Rattus norvegicus: one gene and its partner. The protein of the gene in region 1 interacts with the protein of each later gene in a pairwise test. Links are inferred from orthologs where the notes say so. Each region holds a gene or a part of one and is shown on either strand. Other genes may lie near its edges. The genes, in order: Arhgef2 and Rpp25l.

Evidence for each region.
Region 2: the proteins of Arhgef2 (region 1) and Rpp25l interact in binary tests that used the Homo sapiens proteins (3 or more experiments, as listed by UniProt). The two-hybrid records come from large-scale screens. The link is inferred for Rattus norvegicus from reciprocal best matches to the Homo sapiens genes ARHGEF2 and RPP25L.

What each region holds. Positions count from the first base shown.
Region 1 is NC_086020.1:176,412,512-176,416,425, forward strand, and holds the end of Arhgef2 (rho guanine nucleotide exchange factor 2), read left to right. Parts: intron 1-1,552; coding exon 1,553-1,736; intron 1,737-2,442; coding exon 2,443-2,516; 3' UTR 2,517-3,663; downstream 3,664-3,914. UniProt on the Homo sapiens protein: Activates Rho-GTPases by promoting the exchange of GDP for GTP.
Region 2 is NC_086023.1:61,673,699-61,676,954, reverse strand, and holds Rpp25l (ribonuclease P protein subunit p25-like protein), read left to right. Parts: upstream 1-1,133; 5' UTR 1,134-1,181; exon of another isoform or gene 1,182-1,403; intron 1,404-1,786; 5' UTR 1,787-1,823; coding exon 1,824-2,315; 3' UTR 2,316-2,534; downstream 2,535-3,256. UniProt on the Homo sapiens protein: May be a component of ribonuclease P or MRP.

The DNA of each region.
Region 1 (3,914 bases):
ACTTAGAGTTTGCCTACCTGGCAAACTCTGCCTCTACCTCCTGAATGTTGGGATTAAAGGGGTGCACCACCACCGCCACCGCCACTTAAAGACATGACACCTGGGGCTGGAGAGATAGCTCAGCGGTTAAGAACACTGGCTGCTCTTCCAGAACTTCAATTCCCAGCACCCACATGGCAGCTCGCAGCCTTATAATGTCTGTTCTAGGGTTTCCAACACCCTCATACATACGCTGAGGCAAAACATCAGTACACATGAATTTTTTTTTTTTTTTTTTGGTTCTTTTTTTCGGAGCTGGGGACCCAACCCAGGGCCTTGCGCTTCCTAGGCAAGTGCTCTACCACTGAGCTAAATCCCCAACCCCCCCTTTTTTTTTGGTTCTTTTTTTCGGAGCTGGGGACCAAACCCAGGGCCTTGCGCTTCCTAGGCAAGCGCTCTACCACTGAGCTAAATCCCCAACCCCCAGTACACATAAAATTTAAAAGAAAGAAAGAAAGAATCAGGCTGTCTCTAGAGTACCCAGGTTCAAGTCCCAGAACCCACATAAGTTCCAAGAGACCTGGCATCCTCTCACACACATAAAGGCAGGGAAAACACCAGTGCTCATAAAGTAAAAATGAATGAATCTTTAAAAGAAAATAAGAACGGTCCCCAGCTCCGAAAAAAAGAACCAAAAAAAAAAAAAAAAGAAAGAAAGAAAATAAGAAAAAAGGAATGACACCCCAGGTTGACGATGAAACTGCCCTATAGTAAGGAGCTCTGTTGCTAAGGAGGCACTTTGTTATAAATTGTTACTAAGTCTCCATCCCTTACAAGAGTAAGTTTGTTTCTTAAATCTAATGTACCTGGACACTATTTTTCAAGCTATGCTGAACTTTTAACTCTATGATGCTATCCTACCCCCTTAGGAAATATACTCTTGCACTTAAGCTACTGGCAGGCAGGCAGGCAGCCAGCCTTGAGTCCTGAATCTCCTCTGTCCAGATGCTCACACCAATCTAAACAGTTGTTTTCTATCAACCCAAACCCTTTCCCATAAATAAGACCTCAGAAGGCAATGAGGGGCTGCTCTCTGAAACCCTGACTTAGCAGGGGCAGTCATCTGGCCAGACCCTGGGCACTTCGAAATATAGCTTGCTTTCTTTAATCAGACAGTTGTGGGAATGTTTTTTCTCAGGTCTAACCTGAGACTCTGACTTCTTTATACACGAGTGCACACACATAGACAAGAAGTACTAGTTAAACTGAAAAGAAACTTAAGGCTAAGTTTAGTTGCAGAGGCCTGTGCAAATCTCCGGCACTTCAAATAAACAAATATTTCTATTAGTCTATGTGGCATATTATGGGTACTTGGAGTTCTTGTGTATGAAGGCCAACTGGAGGAGCAACTGAGCCCAGCAGATGTGGAGTGTTTAAGGATATCAAGTGGGTGGTGGATCTCCTGAGAGGGAGTCATTGGTGAACCCCAAGAGACAATGCATGTTGGGACCCAAAAGGCTCACCCGTGCCTGCACACTGCTCATCCCCTGAGCTTGTGCTTTTCTTCCCATAGCCTAGTCGAGGCCATGACCGCCTGGATTTGCCTGTGACTGTTCGTTCCCTCCACCGACCCTTTGATGACCGAGAGGCACAAGAACTTGGTAGCCCCGAGGATCGACTGCAGGACAGCAGTGACCCTGATACTTGCAGTGAGGAGGAAGTCAGTAGCCGGCTGTCCCCACCCCACAGTCCACGAGGTGAGACCCAAGAGTGGTTGTGGGGTCTGGGTCCAAGCCCTTGGGACTGTGACTTCTGAATGTACGCTAAGTGACACCTTGAGGGTTGGTAATGCTGGGAGAGACAGGGACGGTTTCCCTGTTCTGTGAGAAGACAAACTGGTGGTGAAATCCTTGAGAAGGAAGCAGTGCTTTTCCATTGGTTGGTGACCCCCAACCTTTGGAAGTAGTAGGAATCCATTTTTTTGTTGTTGTTGTTGTTGTTGTTGTTGTTGTTGTTCTTTTTTTTGGAGCTGGGGACCGAACCCAGGACCTTGCGCTTCCTAGGTTAGCGCTCTACCACTGAGCTAAATCCCCAGCCCGGAATCCATTTTTTTTAAAGATTTATTTATTTATTACGTATAAGTATGCTGTAGCTGTCCTCAGACACAGCAGAAGAGATCAAATCCCATTACAGGTGGTTGTGAACCACCATGTGGTTACTGGGATTTGAACTCAGGACTCTGGAAGAGCAGTTAGTGCTCATAACCCCTGATGCGTTTTAAAGACTTCCTCTTCCCCCTTATCAAGGAATCAAATACCTCTTAGAGTTTCCTGTTATAAAGGTGACTTTGCTGCCGGAGGGTCATCCAGCCCCACCCTGGGAGTCTTTGTGTAAGTCTGCACTGCTCCTCTTGGGAGCTCCTGCCTGCTCACTCATTACCCTACCCTGTCTGTCACCTTACAGACTTCACCCGAATGCAGGACATTCCCGAAGAGACAGAAAGCCGAGATGGGGAGCCTACGGCCTCAGAGAGCTAAGGGGACGCTTCCCCCTGCCTGGTGCCCCCCACTGAAGAACATTAGTAAAGGGGCAAACCTTGAAAGGACTGCCGATTGTCCTTGCCAGTTCCCAAGACCCCTGGATACCTAGGGGCCATGGGGATGGGGACTTAGAGGCCACCGCACCCCTGGTGTTCTCCAACAGTCACACCACAGATGCCGATTTTACATGCCTTCTCCCCCTCCTTAGGAAAAATTATTTATTTATTGTTTATTGGTTGGGGGGGTGATTTAAAGGGCCAGAGACATGGGAACCAAGCCATAGGTATCAGAGGGCCTCTCCTTTAATACCACTGGGATATGTTTGGCCTTAGCCACACAACCTAACATCAACCCCAGTGACACCCATCTGTGGCCATAGAACCTACTGCCCCTTTCAGAAGGGCTGTGGGTAGGACCATGTCCCTTTTCCCACTCCCCTTAGCCTCTTTCTGCTGTTCTTTCTCTCCATCCTCCATGGATTTCTGGCTCCTTGGAGTTGATGGAGCAGGTAGCCATAATGTATTGGGGTGGGGAAGGAAGAATACAGGGACCAGAATGTTTTGTTTTTGGTTTTGTTTTCTTATTTTTTTTTTTTTTGTACCAAAGCCAACCGCACCTGTTTTATATTTTTAAAAGAAGATTGTAGGCACTTCTAGCTCCATGTCTTTGAACTTGAGGAATTAGGGAGACAGTGACCTATTTCATCGAAGGTCAGGGGGCTCCCATTCAGAACTCTTCCTCAGCCATTTAGAGCCATTCCTCTTCCTCAGAGGAAGCTCTGAGGTGGGTTGGGAAACCTCTAGGAACCCTCACCTCGTCTCCCACGGTGGCAAGCAAGAATTGGGGGAGGGGGATTTTTTTTTCACTGCAACCCTAATGTCCACCAGCGATAGCCATTTTTCTGCCAATTGAATTGTTAAACAGAAAAAACACAGTAACAACGAAGCAAAGAAAGAAAAAGCTCTGGCAGGGAAAAAATTAAAGACCTGACACGCATGAGGTGCTGTCTCAGTGCCCGTTCTGAGGACTGCCGTGCCTGCAGCAAGGCAGTGACCACGGTTTCTGAAAAGGGGCTGTCACTACCTCACAGAAGAGGGCATGAATGGATGCAGCTGCTCAAACTCTTATTAAACATCTCAAAATTGCAAGGCTGGAAATGAAGCGCCGTTCAGCCTCCAGCGGCTGGCTGTTAATGATACAGACATTAGAACACTAATTTGCATCTTATTTGTGTGCTGTGCTCACAGGGCACATCTGGCTCTAACCACCCCTCTCGGTTCCCCTCCCTGCCCCCCATTTTCATTCCCACCCTGTGAGCCCAGGGCCTCGTTCACGGAGTAGCAGCCTGTACACTCTGTCACTTGGAATGGTAGTAATTGGTTTCAGTTCTTGGTT
Region 2 (3,256 bases), on another chromosome or scaffold:
TGACTATACAGCGGGGCATTGTATATTTATTTATCTTATATTTGCCAACTACCCTCTAAATATCACATCCTATGGTAAGTAAGGAGGGCATAGGCAGGGACAGCTAATCTCTACACAGGGTTTGGGGAAGACCAGGTAGGCCTGCATGTCAGGTGGTCCTGGAGGAGCAGGAATGGACGTTCAGAGCCAAGGCTGCACTGCCTTGTGTCTACATAATACCAGTAGCCAGAGGAGGAGCCCAAGATGTAAGAAATTTTAGGATCTTGAGAGGAGGAAAATCAGGGTACATTGATGAGAAAACAGGGAGAAACAGTACCGCGCTCCACCCGGTGTATGCTGCCCTCTTGTGGTCTGAGGGAGTGCCTTAGCTCCTTCAACTGCCTGTAGAGTTGCTTCAGCCCAACCTGTAGAGTTGCTGGCATCCAAAATGCAGCGTATCCAAACGGATCTGAAACTGGCAGTCATCCTAAACTATTCTACCCGAATAGTCACCCGCGCGTCCCCAAAACTTCATACAAGTTTCTATCAAGTTTCTACCACCTCTTCTCAATTCTTGCTGTTTCGGTGGTTAACACCTCATTGGACAAATATCGGAGGGCCTATTTTTACCCTGGATACTGGACTAGGCTCTGTGCGCACGCCCCCGTGGCCGAAGCGCTATGATGATGTTGAGTACAGCCCCTTCCCAGGGTCACCAGTATCTGTTGCCCCCACTACCGGATCCGCCATGCTTATAAACCAATCCTCCGTGGCCAATGAGTTATGCACAAGCTATGGCTTAGACCTTACTGAAAACCGCCGGGGTTGATCAGTGTCCCAGGATGAGAACAAAGCTCAGAACTCCGTAACTAAGGGTCTTGCCTGCTTGTACCCACCACGGACGTCGCCTTCGCTGCTGTGCCATCCATCCTTTAAAGGCACAAATCTGCATTCTTCAGGACTCCTCCGATAGCTGTTGCTCTCTCAGGTGGGCCTTCTGCAGGTGCCGGTGTGTACCGCGGACCACTGCGCTGACGCTCGAGGCCGCCCAGGTGACAGCATCAGCTCCTCTGAGTCGAACAGCAACCCGGGTTTCCCTCAGGTCCCGCCCCCTGCGTGCGCGGCCCCGCGGCTCCGCGCGCTCTCGGTCTGCACGCCATCTTGGCTACCCGGTGAGGGTTGAGCGTCTTCTGGCAACGGTGGTAAGAGCCAAATCCCAGGGAGTGGGGACTCAGAGTTAGGGAAAGGGGGATACCTGCTGCCTGGGACAGCGGCCCACGATCGGGGAGTCCGCCAACCGCTCACGAGTGGCCCGAGCAGCTCTCCGGGGAGTCCTCACCCGCGAGTTCCCGAGTGGCCCGGTTCAAGCTAGCCTACTCAGTTAATCTGGGAGTGAGGTCTTCTCTGCCCCCCACACACCGTAGGTGAGACCGATCCTTTCTTTGGGGAGTACTTTGTGAGGGTTCATGGCTGTGCCCCAGGGTCCTTGAAGCCCAGTGAGGAGAACCTGCCTGTTCTTAGAGAGTTGTGGGCCTGGGGTCTGGGACCTAGCCCCGGAGAGCTTGAGATGATGAAGCACAACCCTACCCCAGAGAGCCTAGTTTTTGGGAATTTGTTTTTGTCAATGTTAGAGACTCGTGGATGTATTTAGAAAGGGGTAGATAATTCTCGGCCCCAGCCTTGAAGTGCTGGGGTGAGGGTGTAAAAGCACTCTCCGTGGTGAGGAACAGGACCACATTCTGGAGGGAGTGATGGAGGATGGTCCATGTGATCATGTTCCTGCCACTCATCTGACTCTTTCCCGCAGTGTATATCCAGAGAGTCACCAAAGGCTCGAAAGCAGAATGGAGCACTACCGGAGGGCTGGCTCTGTAGAGCTCCCAGCCTCATCACCAATGCCCCAGCTACCTCCCGACACGCTGGAAATGCGGGTCCGAGATGGGAGCAAAATCCGAAACCTACTAGGGCTGGCACTGGCTCGTTTGGAAGGAGGAAGCACAAGGCACGTGGTGTTCTCAGGCTCCGGCCGGGCCGCTGGAAAGGCCGTCAGCTGTGCAGAGATTGTCAAACGGCGGGTTCCGGGCCTACACCAGCTCACCAAGCTTCGCTTCCTGCAAACTGAGGACAGCTGGGTCCCAACTTCACCGGACACGGGCCTGGACCCCCTCACAGTCCGACGCCATGTGCCTGCAGTGTGGGTACTGCTTAGTCGGGACCCCTTGGACCCCAGTGAATGTGGCTACCAACCCCCAGGTGCACCTCCTGGCCTGGGCTCCATACCTAGTTCCAGCTGTGGTCCCAGACCCCGAAGGAGGGCTCGGGACACCCGGTCCTGACGATCTGCTGGACCTGACTGTACTCTAGACCTGAGTATCTGTGCCTTCTCTAAGAAGTGCTTGTGATTGCTCACCATGCCAGCAGAGTCCACAGAAGAACTTCCCCTCCTCTCTGGAATGAGGGGTGGAACTGTTAAAAGCACTGGTGTGAGCGCAAGGCCCTGGGTTCGGTCCCCAGCTCCGAAAAAAAGAACCAAAAAAAAAAAAAAAAAAAAAAAAGCACTGGTGTGGGTCCGGTCAGTGCTGAGTTAAAGACTGCGTGAGGAGAGCTTACTCTGCCTCTATAGTATGTCTGACTTGCCTTTTCTGACTAGGGAAGGGAAATAAAGGTTGTGCCGCTTTGTTTGGCCTGCGTGTGAGTGGGGCTTGGCTTTATCCCAGGAGCTCCTAGGCTGGAAGCAGGAAGGATACAGAGAGACTGGCAGTGGATGACGGATCTGGTCTCGATGAAAGTTCTAGCAGTAGTAACCTGGATGGCTTCTTGCCGCCTGCTTTAAGCTGGGTTGGGACTCAGCCAGTTGTCCCATCTGTGGCATGCGTATGTTTTAGTGTAGTGGGATCATGAACTCAGCCTTGGCGGTTCAGGGTTTTGATCCTGGTTCTCCTACTCCCAAGTTACTGCTCTGTGGTTTTGGATAAAAGTTCCTTCTCTGGGTCTTAGCGCTCTCATCCAAAAAGTGGGGGGGTGAGGTGCTTACCTCGTTAGAGCTGTGAAGCTTAGAACGAGGTGCACACATCTGCCATTCAGCCTCCACCTGAGCACCCGGTGCTACACAAAAGGAAGCTCAAGCTTACACACGCGCTGTTTCCCTGAGAGCAGACCTCATTCCCACATGTTTCTTCAGATGGCATTCTTGCCTTTTCTCCATTGCTGTTTTTCTCCCTCTCTTTGGCCTTTGATTCCGGTTTCCCACAGGCATCTGAAGTACACTGGGACTGGA